Linked DNA regions of Saccharomyces cerevisiae S288C. The protein of the gene in region 3 interacts with the protein of the main gene of each other region in a biochemical or structural test. Each region holds a gene or a part of one and is shown on either strand. Other genes may lie near its edges. The genes, in order: MTE1, MHF2, MPH1 and MHF1.

Evidence for each region.
Region 1: the proteins of MPH1 (region 3) and MTE1 form a complex in vitro, tested with the Saccharomyces cerevisiae proteins (one study listed by BioGRID).
Region 2: the proteins of MPH1 (region 3) and MHF2 form a complex in vitro, tested with the Saccharomyces cerevisiae proteins (2 studies listed by BioGRID).
Region 4: the proteins of MPH1 (region 3) and MHF1 form a complex in vitro, tested with the Saccharomyces cerevisiae proteins (2 studies listed by BioGRID).

What each region holds. Positions count from the first base shown.
Region 1 is NC_001139.9:576,063-580,791, forward strand, and holds MTE1 (Mte1p), read left to right. Parts: upstream 1-3,413; coding exon 3,414-4,229; downstream 4,230-4,729. Other genes in the region: mitogen-activated serine/threonine-protein kinase KSS1, read left to right, coding at 1-442; BUD9 (Bud9p), read left to right, coding at 1,425-3,068; sedoheptulose-7-phosphate:D-glyceraldehyde-3-phosphate transaldolase NQM1, read right to left, coding at 4,373-4,729.
Region 2 is NC_001136.10:168,134-172,116, forward strand, and holds MHF2 (Mhf2p), read right to left. Parts: upstream 1,476-3,983; coding exon 1,233-1,475; downstream 1-1,232. Other genes in the region: ENT1 (epsin), read left to right, coding at 1-945; DExD/H-box ATP-dependent RNA helicase DHH1, read right to left, coding at 2,277-3,797. UniProt on the Saccharomyces cerevisiae protein: DNA-binding component of a FANCM-MHF complex involved in DNA damage repair and genome maintenance. FANCM-MHF promotes gene conversion at blocked replication forks, probably by reversal of the stalled fork.
Region 3 is NC_001141.2:356,100-363,061, forward strand, and holds MPH1 (3'-5' DNA helicase), read right to left. Parts: upstream 4,298-6,962; coding exon 1,316-4,297; downstream 1-1,315. Other genes in the region: SGN1 (Sgn1p), read right to left, coding at 44-796; AIM21 (Aim21p), read left to right, coding at 4,786-6,825. UniProt on the Saccharomyces cerevisiae protein: ATP-dependent DNA helicase involved in DNA damage repair by homologous recombination and in genome maintenance. Capable of unwinding D-loops. Plays a role in limiting crossover recombinants during mitotic DNA double-strand break (DSB) repair.
Region 4 is NC_001147.6:157,344-159,945, forward strand, and holds MHF1 (Mhf1p), read left to right. Parts: upstream 1-1,829; coding exon 1,830-2,102; downstream 2,103-2,602. Other genes in the region: DUF1 (Duf1p), read right to left, coding at 1-1,294; alcohol dehydrogenase ADH1, read right to left, coding at 2,205-2,602. UniProt on the Saccharomyces cerevisiae protein: dsDNA-binding component of a FANCM-MHF complex involved in DNA damage repair and genome maintenance. FANCM-MHF promotes gene conversion at blocked replication forks, probably by reversal of the stalled fork.

The DNA.
Region 1 (4,729 bases), on a different chromosome or scaffold from region 3:
GAAGCCTTTGTTCCCAGGCAGAGACTATCATCATCAATTATGGCTAATTCTAGAAGTCTTGGGAACTCCATCTTTCGAAGACTTTAATCAGATCAAATCCAAGAGGGCTAAAGAGTATATAGCAAACTTACCTATGAGGCCACCCTTGCCATGGGAGACCGTCTGGTCAAAGACCGATCTGAATCCAGATATGATAGATTTACTAGACAAAATGCTTCAATTCAATCCTGACAAAAGAATAAGCGCAGCAGAAGCTTTAAGACACCCTTACCTGGCAATGTACCATGACCCAAGTGATGAGCCGGAATATCCTCCACTTAATTTGGATGATGAATTTTGGAAACTGGATAACAAGATAATGCGTCCGGAAGAGGAGGAAGAAGTGCCCATAGAAATGCTCAAAGACATGCTTTACGATGAACTAATGAAGACCATGGAATAGTATTCACAAGAACATTTCTGCCATACTTCTAAAATTTCCCTATATTCAGCTTAGCAGTGACACGTTGTGGTCTGTAGGTCAATATGTAAGTAAGAAACTTCAACTCACATATGCACGATGCATGCCAATGGAAAAATGCAAGGAACGAAATGGCGCCACGGCAACAAGTTTTTTTTTTTCGCCAGCAGAAGTACACGAAATGCGGCTTCATGAGCCTCTTCACTGCTTTGCCTAAACGGGAAATGCAGAGAAAAACCAGCCATCGCGTGTGCTTGGAGAGCTGACGCGACTGTAATCAAAGAGGCGATATCAACACCTTTTATCCAGCACTATTCAACAGTGAATGGGCTCCCAAGTAAGTCTTGGCATTGTGCTTTCTATTCTTAAGTATTAAGTAGAAGTTTTGTTTACTGGGTTTGTTTATTCCTGGCTAGATGTTCGCATTCGTTTTCTAGTTGACCATATTTACCAAATATTCACAACTAATACCCAGCCAAGGTAGTCTAAAAGCTAATTTCTCTAAAAGGGAGAAAGTTGGTGATTTTTTATCTCGCATTATTATATATGCAAGAATAGTTAAGGTATAGTTATAAAGTTTTATCTTAATTGCCACATACGTACATTGACACGTAGAAGGACTCCATTATTTTTTTCATTCTAGCATACTATTATTCCTTGTAACGTCCCAGAGTATTCCATTTAATTGTCCTCCATTTCTTAACGGTGACGAAGGATCACCATACAACAACTACTAAAGATTATAGTACACTCTCACCTTGCAACTATTTATCTGACATTTGCCTTACTTTTATCTCCAGCTTCCCCTCGATTTTATTTTTCAATTTGATTTCTAAAGCTTTTTGCTTAGGCATACCAAACCATCCACTCATTTAACACCTTATTTTTTTTTTCGAAGACAGCATCCAACTTTATACGTTCACTACCTTTTTTTTTACAACAATTTCATTCTTCATCCTATGAAATGACGAAAATAACCAGAGATGTTTCGATAACGACAGAAAATTCAAAATCCACATCTGGATCGGCAACGGCTTCATCCGCATCTTTACCTGAGAACGACCACCCAATATTCCATCAACCGCGAGCAAGAATAAGATCTGGTTCGCTGTTCATCGAAGGATCTGATTCATTTCCATCATCAGAAGTGAAGTCATACAATGTTTATATTGATGATAGCAAGTATAGTGAAATCCTCAAAGGAGATACAAATTCAAGTAGTACTGATGGTAAACAAGTCTTTGAAGATGCTAGAGATGACAATTTCCATCAGGAATCACATAGAGATCTAGAGGATTCAATTTTAGATTTAGTACGACGAGATCCAGAAGTAGCAGCATTCCCTTTACCTCCGCCAAATTCAAATGAGAGGAACAGAAATTCCTCAAACGGGTCTTCCGCTGAAACTAACCTAAATGGACACAGCAGCAGCGGTACCATCTCTACTTCGGTGCTGTTGAATATGGGTTCGGCAGAAAAGCACGCTGGGACGACCAGAGGAGATCATATGGAATCATCTTCAATGAAATCCTTCGAGAAACTGGGAACCAGACCTTCTTCTTTATTCTATCCACCACCCGAAGGAACTGCGCCGTACCAGGGACCAAGGGCTACCGTCTCCGGAAATAAGTCTACAAGGCAAACACAAGGTACATACTCATTTCCTTCTATGCGGTATGGTGTAGATCTTGTTTCTCCTGTGGAAGGGGCTGTTGATGTAGCAAAAAGCAGAGTTCCTAACAGCACGCTAAATGGTACTTTTCCCGATAAAGCGTTTATCCCACATGAATTTCAAATTCCTAAAAAGGCCTGGAACAGAATACCAGCGAATAAGTCCACTAGCCTCAAAACCCCAAGAAACCATTCCCTATTAATTGACATATTAAAGCCTTTTGAAGCAGCTGACCTTGCTAATGACCAGCGAAGTTCTTCCGCTGTTTTAAAAAATACAGTGCATTCTAATGGGCAGTATAATCCAACTAATGAAACCTCTGGAACTCGAATGCAAGATCAAAGGCAGAAGAATACCAACGAAATTGATTTAGAGAAAATTCCTAATCCTCAAGTCCCTCTTGGTATCGCAATGGACACCATGCGTAGTCCAAACCAACTACACGAAAAGGAATACGAAAGTAATATAGAAGCTGGTTTAGCTTCTGGGGTCGGAAAAGGTGACAATAGTATTAAGCAACATCAATATAAAAAAATTCCTCAAGAAATTGATCGAGATCAGCAATTAAGTTTTCAAATGGAAACAATGCCCATTCAAAGAATAGATTCCTCCTCCATACGTTCATTTGATTCCCGAATATATGGCTTCTCCGAGATTTATAGTATTCCAAGGGTTATAACTACACTGTGCATCTGCCTTTTTGTTCCGCCCTTATTCTTTTTCTTTTCAATCAATGGAAATAATGGCGTTTCAAATTATAGATTAATGAGAATGATAATGAATTATGAACATAGAATCGGCCTCCTCAAAGGGTTTGAATGGGACATTGACGTACAATGGTTCAGGACATTGTGCTTTGTATTAGGATGTATAGAGATGTTAGCTATCTTTGCTAGCATAGGAATAGGATTTGGTGTGGGAATAATAAGAGAGTAACTCCATGCTGGACTTACTCGTCGAAGATTTCCTGCTACTCTCTATATAATTAGACACCCATGTTATAGATTTCAGAAAACAATGTAATAATATATGGTAGCCTCCTGAAACTACCAAGGGAAAAATCTCAACACCAAGAGCTCATATTCGTTGGAATAGCGATAATATCTCTTTACCTCAATCTTATATGCATGTTATTTGCTCTTATAATTGGTCTCTATTTAGGGAAAAAAGTCGGTTTGAGAGCTTCTCGCGATGTGAAATCTCAATTTGAACTGCACGCCAAAGCTAGCCCATTTCACGAACACCAGAAAGAAGAAATCCCCAAGGATCGCATGACAGAGTATGCTCTCTCATATCGTTGAGTATGAATGCCAATACACTGATCAGCTTTACAAGAAACGTAAAATCTGGCACGATGGTAGACTGAAATACTTTCAGTTAAACAACAGATTCATGCTTTATACGGAAAAGGATAACGTTTTGTTAGCTAGTGAATTTAAAATAAATTCAAAAGAGCTGAAAGCAATTCTAAATCCAGAAGGTTTTGATATTGAAGAACATAGGATTTTTAGTCAGTTTTTGGTGATTATTTCAAATATTATTGAGGAGTACGATAGAGATATTCAAGTGGCAGCAACGCATGTTAGGGCATATCCTTCAAATTTGTCGGTGCAAAAACAACGCCCTCTTATCTCAGACAATGCACCAAGTTTGAATCATATCTCAACTGCGAGAGAAGTTCATTCGAACATAAAAGTCACAACTCCCAATCGCAAGCAGACAGAGGACAATGCCACCAAGGGAGGATTCAACATCAGCAAACTTACTCTGAAGGTCAATAAGCCTTTCAAGAAGCCCAAGAGGATATTAAGTACTAATGTGGTAAATGAATCAAATAGACCGAGCATAAGGAGCCAAAAGATTCAGGAAGTGACACCACAACTACACGAAACAAACACAAGCACTAAAGTGCAGACAGCCGGAAAAGTTGCGTTGAATAATGATAATATTGCGCAAGGTAATTACGCCACGATTACCGAAGAAGCTAAAGTCAGAGACGGTTCCGACAGAAAGAAAGATATGGCGAACCTATCCAAAAGTGGTAAAAGGAGAGTGGGCGGGATACGAAGAATTGTTCACGAACCCCTCGGAATTTGATTATACGTCAGAATTTTAATGAATATATAAGTCTGTACACTATGCTATGCACATATACTCAAACAAATTCAATACTAAGTACCGAAAAGGAAAGTGGTATATATATATTTATATATATAAGTAGGTACCTCTACTCTTAATGATCACATTTTTTCTTCAACCAGTTTGTACAGTGCTTCAATGTCTGCGGAGAATTTTCTGATACCATCTGATAGTTTTTCTGTAGCCATTTGATCTTCGTTTAAAACATATCTGAAATGAGGCTCGTCGTTGATAAAAGAGACTTTTTCGACGCCTTCTTCCTTAGCACTCTCAGAATTCAATTTGTTTTCAATAGGATCTGTTGATTCATATAACTGTTCTAGAAGGTTCAGTGGGAGAGTCATATTATCAATACCGGCTAACGCCTTCAATTCATCTAAATTCCTGAAAGAAGCCGCCATTACCTCAGTTGCATAACCATGCCTCTTATAGTAACTGTATATCTTCTTAACAGAAAG
Region 2 (3,983 bases), on a different chromosome or scaffold from region 3:
GAGGAAAGGAACATGAATATCAAGGGAAGAAACAGGAAAGGAAGAAGAAGAAGGGGAACTGGGCGCAGTGATGAAAATGACGATGATTTGCAAAGAGCCATTAGTGCTAGCAGGTTGACGGCGGAAGAAGACGAAAGAAGAAGAAAACAGGACGAGGATTATGAAACAGCTTTGCAGTTGAGCAAAGAAGAAGAGGAGCTAAAAAGATTGCAAGATTTACAAAGAATGCAACAACAGCAAGGCCAACAACAATTGCAACAACCTATGTATTATGATATTTTTGGTAACCCAATCACTCCTGAGGAATACGCACAATTTCAATTGCAACAACAGCAACAACAGCAACAACAACAGTTGCAACAACAACCAATGTACTACGATGTATTCGGGAATCCTATAACACCCGAAGAACTAGCACAGTTTCAACAACAACAACAACTACAGGAACAACAGTACTTAGCTTCTATGCAACAGCAGCAACAGGCAATGTCCAACAATCCATTTGCCAAATCAGAACAGAGCTCAAGTTCACCAAAACGGAACCAACTAGTAGCAGCTTCTTCTCCACAGCAACTGCAACAACAAAAACAACAAGAGCCATTGATTCAAAACAGGACAGGCAATCAATCAATGACAGACAAGTATAGTAAACTAAACGAGCTACTAGCCACAGGAACAGGTATTGATACATTCGGAAATGTAGGGGAGGCTCGTATTCCTGCCCAACATACGAAGACAGGAACATTCATCAATTCTCAAGGAACAGGATATAGGCAAGTATCGGATGATCCAAACCACAATCCGTTTTTGAACAGTCAGTATACAGGTTTACCAAGCACTAGCGTCGTACCAACACAAACAGGCTATGGCTTTGGTAACCAGTCTCAACAGCAGTCTCAAAATAATGGCTCAAATAACCGGGGATATACTCTAATTGATTTATGAAGTGATTCTGTCATTCCAGTCCGCATTTCTAATCAGATGAGCATTTTCTCGCATCGCATAATATATATGGACTAAGTAATTTAATCATTTCACAGCGCGTTTTGATGCAAGCGTTTAGTATAAAATGAACTGTATATTTGTATATGTGAGCGCACGATCGCTCCAAAAACTACTTTAGTAAACTAACGTAGTTCAGGACGACTGAAAGAAAATATAGTGCTTTAAATTTATCAGACAACCAGGAATGTCTTATGTCTTTACATGGATGTAATGTAAGTTGAATACTTTTACATATCCATCAGAAGAAGCCCTACGATACGCTCTAAATCTTGATGCGATAACTCTAAGGGACTTTTATCGCCACGTTCTCCGTTAATGTCCTTGTGAGATTGCAAGGACCGCAGCACCGCCTCATCAATGAATATATCCAAATATTTCTGTATCATTGGTACTACTTCATCGGCAATTTTCATATCATTACCACCTTCATTTTGGCTGAGGATTTTTATTAACGCTTCTTTAGATAACATCACCACAATTACTGTGCTCTGTACTCATGTCCTTTCTAAGTGCAATAATGTAAATTCTAACACGCTTTTATGTATGATTGATTTTTGATATTTTGGCCCGAAAGATAATTCTGGTCTCCCGGAAACATGAAGATGCAGCAAAGTAAAAAATAATAGGTAAAAATAATAAAAATACATGTATCTTTTTGGTTGGTTAATTTATCTAAACAGTTTTATATATATATGTATATATATATATATATATACACAGTATTAATATTCTTTCCTTGAGATTACTCTCTATAAAAAAAAAAAAAAAAAAGCTTTTAAAAAAAAAAAAACTCAAAAAAAGAAAGAATATTCAAAGAAAGTTTCATCTTGTCAGTTGAAATGAATAGTTTATTGTGGAAATTATAACAATAAAAGTTAGCTAAAAGCGAAAGTGTCGATGAAACTGGGCAAGTGCACTTGAGCTCTTGATATGGACGGTAGTATTGGTTACAACAATGACTGGTAAAAGAATGAAGTGGTTTGAGATAATTTTAGAGAAACAAAAAGAAATAACAAAGTGATAGTAATAAAAACGGTGCGCAAATGAGGATAAAAAAATCAGCACAGAAACTAGAGAAAACGGATAAAAAAATAAAAAAGCAGAGACAAAAATTAAATTACGACTGATTCTTGTTCAAAATCAATAGTAAAAGTATGGTTACAAAGTAATGTAATTCACAATGGAGATTTGAAAAAAGATAAAAATAATCGACGATTAGATCACAAAAAAAGCGTATCTCACCACAGTAGTTATTTTTTCTTAGATATTCTTTAATACTGGGGTTGTGACTGACCAGGTGGCATCGCCATGAAATGTTCCTGCTGTGGAGGATACCCCTGCTGCGATGGCATTTGCGGTGGAGGATACGCCTGTTGTTGCTGATGCGAAGGAGGAACCATGAATTGTGGATGATGTTGCTGCGGAGGAATAGCAAATTGTTGCTGAGATGGTAATTGTTGCTGAGGTATCGCTTGTTGATGATAGCTCTGTTGCTCTATCGGGAATGGGACAGGTACCGTTTCGTCATTTTCAGCCACATACAATGACTTATCGATAGTGGCCGGAATAGCCGCAATTTCAGTGCCCAGTTCTTGTTCGATTTTATAAAGGTTAAACCGATCATTCCAGTTAATCAAATTGATTGCTAAACCCAAGTGGCCAAACCTACCGGATCTACCAATACGATGTAAATATGTTTCTGCCGTTTTGGGGAAATCGAAATTGATAACGACATTAACGGCTTGAATATCGATACCACGGGTCAATAAATCGGAGCAGACCAATGTACGAACCTTACCTTGACGAAATTCGTGGAAAACTTTATTTCTTTCTTGTTGCTTCATTCTTGCATGAGAGTAATAACAGGAATAGCCTAAATCAGTGATTTTCTTGGCTAGTAATTCGACACGGTTAGTAGAATTACAAAAAATAATGGCTTGATTAATTTGAAGCTTAGAGAATAAAGTATTTAAACAATGTAGCTTTTGTCTTTCTTCAACAAAGGCGTAGTATTGAGTAATACCCTTTAGAGTCAATTCTTCCATCAAATTAATTTCATAAGGCTTATGCAGATGTTTAACCATGAATTCCTTAACCGTTAGTGGGAAAGTAGCGCTAAATAATAAAGATTGGTGAGTTGGAGGTAAGAAGGATAAGATTTGTTCAATTATTGTCTTGAAGTCACGAGATAACATTTTATCGGCTTCGTCCATGATGAATAATGAACAATCAGACAGATCTGCTACTTTTCTCGAAGCTAAATCCAACACTCTACCAGGAGTACCAACCAAAATATGGACTGTTTCATTTAATCTTAGAATATCGTCTCTCAAATTGGTACCACCAGTGGTCACCATACATGAAATACCACAGTGTTTTCCCAATGTACGGACGACTTGGGAAGTTTGCAGAGCTAACTCTCTTGTGGGAACCATGATCAAAGCCTGAATTTTATTCAACTTTGGTTTGACTTTCTCTAACGTAGGAATAACAAATGCGGCTGTCTTACCTGTACCATTCTTTGCTCTGGCCAATATGTCTCTACCAGTTATTGCTACCGGAATAGCCTCTTCTTGAATAGGGGATGGTTTTTCAAAACCGGCTTCAAAAATACCCATTAACAGCTCTCTTTTCAAATAAAAATCTTCAAAAGTATTACCCTTTGTATTTAAGACATCATCTGTCTGTGGTCTGGTATCCTTCTTGGGAATATTCAATGCAGTTTTCCAGTCCCGATCGAGATCCGTATTACTGTTATTATTAGTGTTGAAGTTATTATTGATGGAACCCATTACTACTATTTTCTTTCTTGTCGTATTTTAGGCCTGGGATAAGTTATTATGCGAATGGCGATGCGGTTATGAAGAAATAAAAGGGCTAAAAGTAAGAATTTTCTGCGTCTATCTTTCTATTAGGAATAAAATATGACTATATTTACTATTATTGTTGTTTTGTCGTACAATCCTTTATGAATGAAA
Region 3 (6,962 bases):
GCTCACTTAATTATTATTAAGTATACACATGAAAGCCTTGTGTTTATTTCGAATCTTTTTCTTGGGTAGAACTTTTAACGTTGTCAGACGGCATGACAACAGGTTTTTGGGAAGTAGATCTAATATTTTTTGTAGAGTCTTTGGCACTGTTGAAGTGTTTTTTTTGGAAGGTTCTATTCTTGTTATTGTAAGGACTCCTATAATAATTGTTCTTATTATATCCGAAATTTTGATTTGGAGACTGATTTGGAGGGTACGGTGGGTAATAAGGGAAGGTATCGGGATTGGGGTAGGCCATTAAGGGATAATTCCATTGCCATTGTTGGAAATACTGGTTTTGCGAGTTGTAATGCCTATTAAATCCTGGAATGTTAGTTCTTTTTCTGGAGACAGCAATTTTTTTGCCTTTAAGTTCTCCTCCATTTAATTGCAGGGCTTTTTCTCTGTATGCCGGACTTTCAAATTCAATATAGCCGTAGCCTTTTGGTGTTCCCGTATTCCTATCATAAAGAAGTGTTATTCTTTTTATCTGGCCACAGTCTTTGAAATGATCTTCTATTTGCTCTGGGGTGACATCCGGAGTGATGTTACCGACAAAGATAGAACGCGAGTCAGCTTCAAGTTGATGAGCGTGTTTTTCCTCCTTGCTTAGCTTTTGCGACACCTGTGGAGTGCCCTCGATAGATAGTTTACCCACAAGTTCATCCAGCTCGAGCTCTTGCTTGTCGTTCTTTTTATTGTTCGAAATTTCAGTCTTTAAGGTTGCCTTAGCATCCACTTTCTCTTCCTGGGACATAACAGCAATTGCAAATGATGACACTATGTGACAGCAGATATATGTTTATGTTAATAGGCCTGGTTGGAGAGCGAAAGTTGAGATTACTTACTTAATCAAAATTAAATTTGAAATTTGCTGCATTTTAAGGTTACTTTTCGGAGTGTAGGAAATTGTTGCGGTTTTTTTTCACCTAACGAATGATTGATAATCTTTTTCATATCCTCCAAGAAACAAGCTGTTTATTATGGTGATTGCCACAAATTGAAGCGCTATGCTTAGTGCTTCATGACAGAAAGGTTTTGCATTGGTAGGCGTGGAAGATTACAGATTGTACTCGTCGTTGGCTCAATTTTTATATTTTGTTGCTTCAAAAACAGTGCCGTATCCTTAATGAATGAAAAATTCTAAAGAAAATAAGTTGATACTAAAAATATAATGTCCTTGAAGTATTTATGCGATATATAGAAAAATCTATAAATACTTAAATATTACAGCAGCGTTATTTTTGTATAGACGCCGACGTATAAGAGTCTCCTATCAAAAATCAGAATCTGAGCCCAGTATGTCATCTAATTCTGCGTTCGATAAGGTAAAAGATTGGGATGAATCATGGTTGACACTGTTGTTATCGACTTGACTTTTATCGTTAACTTTTACAAATTTTTTTTCGTCTCGTAACATGCCTCTCGCCAAACATTTAGTATAGTTCATATCAATTGTCCTCTTCTTATTATCATTACTCTCGTCGTTAAATAACGTAATGATTTTTGAAACTTTGTGACAATGCGGAACTTTTACCCCTTTGGTGTATTGTACAAAATTGGGCTCCACATCGAAGGAAACACCTTCTGGGATATAGCGGTTTCTGAAAAAATTCCAATCGTCCAAACTCAATACCATGTTATTCTTGTCAACAGTACAGCTCTTTTCTTTTTCAAGGTTGTGTTGATTTCCTCGGATGTCTTTCACATTTTTCTCGATTTTAGTTGGAAGACCACAATCATTCACAAATAAAGCCATATTAGGGCGTTCAAAATTATGAAGTGGCTTGAGTGTGGTAAGACTTTCGCCAGTGCGAATAATGGCAGTTTCCAAATCTTTTTGGCATCCATTCTGCCCTTCCGCAATGAAAACATTATTATCATCACTGACTTCTTCATCTTCAGTTTCTAATGAGGAGGAAGCTTCCTCGGTTGAATCATTCTCCAGATTATCCAAAGCTTTAAAAATCTTCCGCTTCTTACTTGGGTTTTCATTACTCGTTACTAGTTGTTTCCCGCCACTTTCATTCACCAAGAACTTATTAATTAAAGTGCTTGCACTAACAATACTGGTCTCAACATTATCAGGCATAAAGAACTTCTTCGGTTTTTTATTTTCCTGAACTCTCTTCTTCTTTGTTATGGCTTTTTTTGGCTTCACCTTTTTGCCCATCATACACTGAGTCGCATAACGAATAACTTCGTCAACATCTTCCATTTCATTAATTATTTCGTTTTCATCATTAATCGTGATCAATGTCTCGTGACATTCCGGAATAATGTCTTCAGGGATTATCCGATCTGATTTTTTATAGTCAATGCATTGCTTGGATATAAGCGCTTGCAGGGTTGAATAGTCTTCCATAGCACGCTCGAATTTGTATGATTCATTACTGCTAAACAGTAGTACTATCTTACCATCTCGTTTTCTGCCTGTTCTACCCATACGCTGAATATTTTTGATTGGACTACTTGTAGTATCATAACAGATTATTAAATCAACTTCTCCGATATCCAAACCTTCTTCTCCAATTGATGTACAAACGAGAACATTATATTCACCCTTTTTGAAATTATGGATAACCTCTTTTTGCATTTTTTGGTTCATTCCGCTAATCTGAGCCTCTTCAGAGCTCCCCGTTCGTCTGGCACTTCTTTCAAGTTTATCATTCGCCGCTCTCTTAGTTCGTTCAGCTTCCAAAAATTTCTCTTGCTCTTGCCTATGCAATCTCTCTACCTTCTTCCTTCCCTTTGGCGCATGTTTTCTTGTGTATTTGACCTCATCAAAACCTTCTTTTGCACGAGCTTGTCCAATAAAAATATGAGGCCTGATTTGATCGTCAGCTACCGAGTCTATGAACTTCACAATTTCAAGTGCGCTTTCTCTTAATTCTGTAAAAATAATAACCCTCGAGTCGGAACCCCTTTTCTGAAAAAAGTCCATTAGTTCATCTCTAACACATTGTAACTTCCCATGACCGACAAACTTTGGATCACTTAAATAATTTTCGCATTGATTTTTGATGTTTTTCAAAATCGGATGGTAATAAAACTCAGCTGCAATTTTATTAGTAGATTTTTTAAGATTATATTTCGTAGTGAATTCTGTACATTTATTCTGGAAGTAATTGAAAAATGTCCTTATTCCATAAATTTTTAATCTCTTTAGCATTTGACCCACATTGTTCAATAACTGTAAAATAAAGAAGTTCCTCCACTTAATTCCTTCAGGTATAGTAGGGTTAGCAATAATTTTTTGGCTTTGTTGCATGGCTTTGAAGGCGTTTATTTGTGAAGGGTCACATTCCTCATATATACCGAGTTCAATTGCCTGTTGAAGCACTGGTTTGACGGCCATACCTAATTGTTCGATTATGTCTTCAATTTCCAACAAAAGGGGCACTTCAATTTTTTCCTTTTTTCTTTTCTTCATATATTTCACGATATCCATGCTTTCTTCAGTCCTAATTTCAATCTTGGAAATATCTAAGTTATTAACCACTTCTTGGACACCTTCCAGGTCAGAGGCTGGTGTAGCGGTCAATGCTAATAATCTGTATGATGAATTGAACCTATCTATGAATTTTACCACATTTGTATACGCAGAGGAGCCAGTAGCTCTGTGAGCTTCATCGATGACAAGACATACAATATCCTTAGGATCCAATACACCCCTCTTCAAGTCATTCTCCACTACTTGCGGTGTGGCAAAGAAAACTCTCTTATTGGCCCAAATTTCTTCTCTATTTTTCCTGCTTTTATCGAGTAATATAGCAGTTTGATCCGAAGGTATTCCTGTTATACCTAAGCATGCCTTAATTTGCTGGGCTACCAAAGGTCTTGTTGGAGCAGTAAAGATTATTTTGGCTTTTTTGGTCCAACGAAAATAATTTAACATTACTGTACTGGCAATGAACGTTTTACCCATACCCGTTGGGATGGCGCATAACGTATTTTGAAACAGTGATTTGTGAACAATTGTATACTGATAATCCCTTACCTCGTAATTTGTAGGGTACACGTAGAACGACAAAGCATCGTAATCAAGCTCATGATGAGTGGGTCCAAAACTGACATCTCTTTGAATTTCTTCGTACACAGTTTTCTGCCCAGGTAAAACGTTATCATGAAGGTCTTTTTGAACTGGTACAGCACGTCTCGTTATAGTTTCCTTCACAGATTTATTGATAGCCTTTTCATACAGTTTATCCAGCTCGTCATCTTCGAAATCACTAAAGTAATCATCTGCACTAGCCATCAGAGAGAAAAAAGGACACTAAAATAAAACAGAACCGGAATGTGTTGAATAAAACTGAAGTGAGCTACTATATCTTGAATCACAATATCTTAGCTCCGTGATAGAGCATAGGGCACCTCTATTGATCTCTTCGTGATGCCCGGTTATATACACACGTAACCCCGTAAAAGCCGTTACCCGGTTTATGTCTTTCTGTGAGCACAGTAAGCTAGGAAGGTCGATGGAGAAGAAGACTCCTGTCTCATATGGAACAACCTTGCAAATTGAGTGCAATTATCCCCTTTGGAGTTTGAATTTTGTGTTAGTACATTCTCCTTTTTTAACTTGTCTTTTCTACCACATGCACAATGAAAGCAATCTTGTTTTACCAGGCGCGAAGCAAAAGAAAAGGAGAAATATTGAGTATATTTTAATTTAAGCTTTCTGATTTAGAAAGTATCATGTTTTGTTGGTGATCTAACAGGAAATCTATTTTGACCGATTATACAATGCCATCGGAAGTTACGCCAAAAGTACCTGAGAGGCCCTCAAGGAGGAAGACATCTGAGCTGTTTCCGTTATCCGGCTCTGAATCAGGAGATATTAAAGCTAATAGCGAGCCACCAACACCAGCAGGAACGCCCAATGTACCAACACGTAGACCCATACTTAAAGCAAAGACGATGACTTCGTTTGAGAGTGGTATGGATCAAGAGAGTTTGCCCAAGGTACCATTGCAGAGGCCAGTTAGACGCTCCACTACTGAAGAACTAAATAATGTAATGAATAACACCAGTAAGGAGTTAGAGGAGATTGAAAGTTTGATTTCAAAGCACAATATACACAATGTTTCCAGGAAAAAAAGTCCAACTTCTGTGGAAGAGGGAAAGGTGGCCGCCATTCATCAAAACGGGCAAAGAAGTGCATCAGATAACAAAACTTCTACAAATCCCTCCCCACTCGAAAAAAATGAGCACGAGGGTGCTGAGGGCAATGAGTCTGCTATTTCACCTTCTAATTTAGTTAACAAGTCTAATAATGAAGTGACAGAGCATAGTGACTCCGAAGACCTTACTGAAAAGCAAAAGGTACATGCTGCCCTAGATAATGAGGCAGGGGATAGAAGCCATTTTGAAGAAAAGCTCATTCCTGGAGATATGAAAGTACAGGTAGATGTTAGTAAGGACGTAGAAGAAGGCAGCCTCAATGCTCTGCCTCCATCTGGAATCACAGAATCAGACGACAAAGCTGAAAAGTTCACTAAACATCCTGAATCTAGTTTAGAAGAGCTACAGAAGCATCAAGAACAACAGGAAGAAAAAATTTTCCAAAATCCAACCGATGAAGAAAGTACTACCTCTTTGAATGAGAAACAAGAAGGCAAGGACAACATGGAAGTGAATTCTCAGCCGCAAGGACCTTCTGATACTGAAACAGTTATAGCAGCAACTAGCTCAAACGTTCCTTCACAAATTGCAAGTGAAGAGGAAAATGACGTTCCAGTGATTCCAAGGAGTAGGCCTAAGAAGGATTTTGAAGCACACGTACAAAAAGAGGAGTTGCCTAACACACAAGAGAAGCGAGTATCAGAAGAGTGTGATTCGACCCTAATTAGTACCGAAGAGGAAAGTAAAATCCCAAAAATTCCCTCTGAAAGACCAAAGAGACGTGCCCCACCTCCGGTTCCCAAAAAACCTTCTTCAAGAATTGCGGCCTTTCAAGAAATGTTACAAAAACAACAGCAACAAGATCTGCATAATAATGGTAATTCTTCAGCTACTACCGCTTCAGCAGATATTGCTAAAAAACACACAGATTCTTCTATTACTAGCGATACCACGAAGGCAGATTTTACGAGCAAATTGAATGGACTGTTTGCGCTACCTGGTATGGTGAACCCTGGACAGCTTCCACCTTCCTTGGAGAAGAAGTTGTCCTCCCCGGATACTGAATCTAAGCTAGGACCCCAGGACCAATCACAGGCAAAAACGGGACCTCTGGGCGGAACTAGAAGAGGTAGAGGACCTCGTGGGCGTAAATTACCTTCTAAAGTAGCTAGCGTAGAGAAGATTGAAGAAGATGACAACACTAATAAAATAGAAATATTTAACAATTGGAATGTTTCCTCTTCCTTCTCTAAGGAAAAAGTCTTAATAGATACTACTCCTGGTGAGCAAGCAGAAAGGGCCTTGGATGAAAAGTCAAAGAGCATTCCCGAGGAACAACGAGAACAATCTCCAAATAAGATGGAGGCTGCTCTTTGTCCTTTTGAGCTGGACGAAAAGGAAAAGTTACCTGCTAATGCTGAGTCGGATCCTCTTTCTCAGTTGCCACAGACGAACGCCGTAGGTAATAGAAAAGCCATAAGTGAGGAATCTCTGTCCCCATCGGAGGCCATCGCCAACAGAGATCAAAACGATACGACAGAAATACAGGAACAGCAGATGGAGGACCAAATGGAGGTTGATATGGAAAGAGAACTCTCAGGTGGCTACGAAGACGTTGATTCTGCCTTACATTCAGAAGAAGCGTCTTTTCACTCCCTTTAGAATCTTATAAATAATATGTATGAATAAACTCTATAGTATGTATCAAGAGAGAAATATGTGAATGACGAGCAAACTAGAGGTGTTATTAATAATAATGGCATAAAAACTAGATTTTATTCTATATATATATATATATA
Region 4 (2,602 bases), on a different chromosome or scaffold from region 3:
GTGCGAACCCACCTTCGTTGACACTGAAATGGTTATTAGTTAAATCGAGCACGTTTAGATTTGAGTCAGTACAAAAAGAAAACAACAATTTTTCATTAGGTAAAAGGGCAATATCAAGGATACCACCATATTTTTTTACTTTCGCATCTGTAGTTGATATATTTTGCTCTTCGTGTTCATGGTGATGATGATGATGGTGGTGATGATCAGGCTTGAAAATTCTTGTAAGTTTAGCATCTTCATAACTGGATAAGTTTGCTCTCATAACATTGCCCTGAGAGTCACCAAAATACAACTTATCAAGGCTCGTTCCTTGGACACACCATATGGAAGAATCCCAGGACCAAGATCCAATTTTTTTGGGAAGCTGAAGGGCACCAGTAGTCTGATCATGCCTACAATTCAAGTCCCATACATTTATTACACCATCTGAGCTGGTACTGATTAGTCGTGTGGAGTCATCAAGAGTTCTTACTACTTTTATATTTGTTCTGTGGGCGTTTTGAATTCTTATCACCTCCTTACGATATTTACACGAATAAAAAATCAAATCACCATTACAGTCTCCGGCAACAAAATCAAAGGGACGAGACGTTTGATTGTCATCAAAACTGTATTTTGGGATGATGGGACTCATGGAGTATATTGAGCCTGTGTCGTTTGATTGTGCATTATCAAATGTGTGTAGTAGCGTAGCCATTTTTTCTGGCCCGCTGCTCAGGCACCAAAGTTTGATTTTTCTATCTAGACCACCTGTCACAAAAAGAAAGTTGTTCTGTTCATCAACAACAATGCCATTATTTATTCCATCGTGTACATTATCAGGACCACCCTCTTGTTCTTCCAATTCATAGTCATTTGACATTTCATAATGTATGGGCACTATGCACTTGATATAATCGTCGTGGTCACCGATTATTTTCTTATCCCAGGTAGTTAACTGCGCATTCACACTAATTAATACTATCGAAAAATCGTGACTTACTGATATGAATGTGTCCCCTGCAGATGGGTCTGAATTTTTCATATTAACATGTATTAGATCGCTTGCCCAATCGCTATGAACTTGCATTCTTATCGCATCGTTTTTTATGGTAGTTGCAGCAGTCTCAGGCTCGTTCGAGAGCTGTGTGTTCTTGTGCAAAATTATGGAACCATCCCTTCCTGAAGTAAGAAAATAGTTTTTACCAGGTATATCCGGGTACAGAATCTTTGTTATCGGTAAGATGTGCGCATCTTGGGAAGTGCAGTAATCTGGGGAAATTAGGCCATAACTCACTGTCAACTGATTCATTATTACCTTTCTATTTTCTCCGGCTTTTTATTGGCTTGCTCTTCTAAAGTCAGAAAAGCGTAGATTTGCTAGAATGTATCGTTTCCTCGTTAGGAATGGCTTGAACTAATTCCTGTATCTATGCAATTGCAATCCAACTACACTTATACGACGTCAAAAGGAAGGGGCGGAGCGTTCTAATTGTAGTTGCAAAAAGCGATGTAGTCGTTCTTCAAGTAGTAATTAATACCAGGATAGGACACGGTGTTATGGTGCTGGTAGTTACTTGTTATAATGTTATTATTGGGCAAAAAGAGAGTTCACTGTTTAACAATAGCAATGGGGTTTTTTTCAGTATACATTTGAACTGCAATGGAATTTGGGCGGAGGGAGCAGTAAAGGGGCGATCAGAGTTGAAAAAAAAATGCTGCCGTAAAAAAAGCATGCACGTATACACTTGAGTAAATATATTTATGTATTCATATCTCAAGATAAGATCATGATACATAAAAGCGATATAACGTCTTGAAGCTCAGGTAAGGGGCTAGTAGATGCAATGAATGACGATGAAGATAGAGCCCAACTGAAGGCTAGGCTGTGGATCCGTGTGGAAGAACGATTACAACAGGTGTTGTCCTCTGAGGACATAAAATACACACCGAGATTCATCAACTCATTGCTGGAGTTAGCATATCTACAATTGGGTGAAATGGGGAGCGATTTGCAGGCATTTGCTCGGCATGCCGGTAGAGGTGTGGTCAATAAGAGCGACCTCATGCTATACCTGAGAAAGCAACCTGACCTACAGGAAAGAGTTACTCAAGAATAAGAATTTTCGTTTTAAAACCTAAGAGTCACTTTAAAATTTGTATACACTTATTTTTTTTATAACTTATTTAATAATAAAAATCATAAATCATAAGAAATTCGCTTATTTAGAAGTGTCAACAACGTATCTACCAACGATTTGACCCTTTTCCATCTTTTCGTAAATTTCTGGCAAGGTAGACAAGCCGACAACCTTGATTGGAGACTTGACCAAACCTCTGGCGAAGAAGTCCAAAGCTTCTCTGGTGTCAGCTCTGTTACCGACGTAAGAACCAACAATAGAGATGGACTTGACGACTTGGTTGAAGACATCAGAACAACACTTGGCACCAGCTGGCATACCGACCAAAACGGTGGTACCGTTAGCTCTAACGTATCTGGTAGAAGCTTCAATAGCGGCTTCGGAAACGGAAACGTTGATGACACCGTGAGCACCACCGTCAGTGGCCTTTAGAACAGCACCGACAATGTCCTTTTCCTTAGTGAAGTCAATGAAGACTT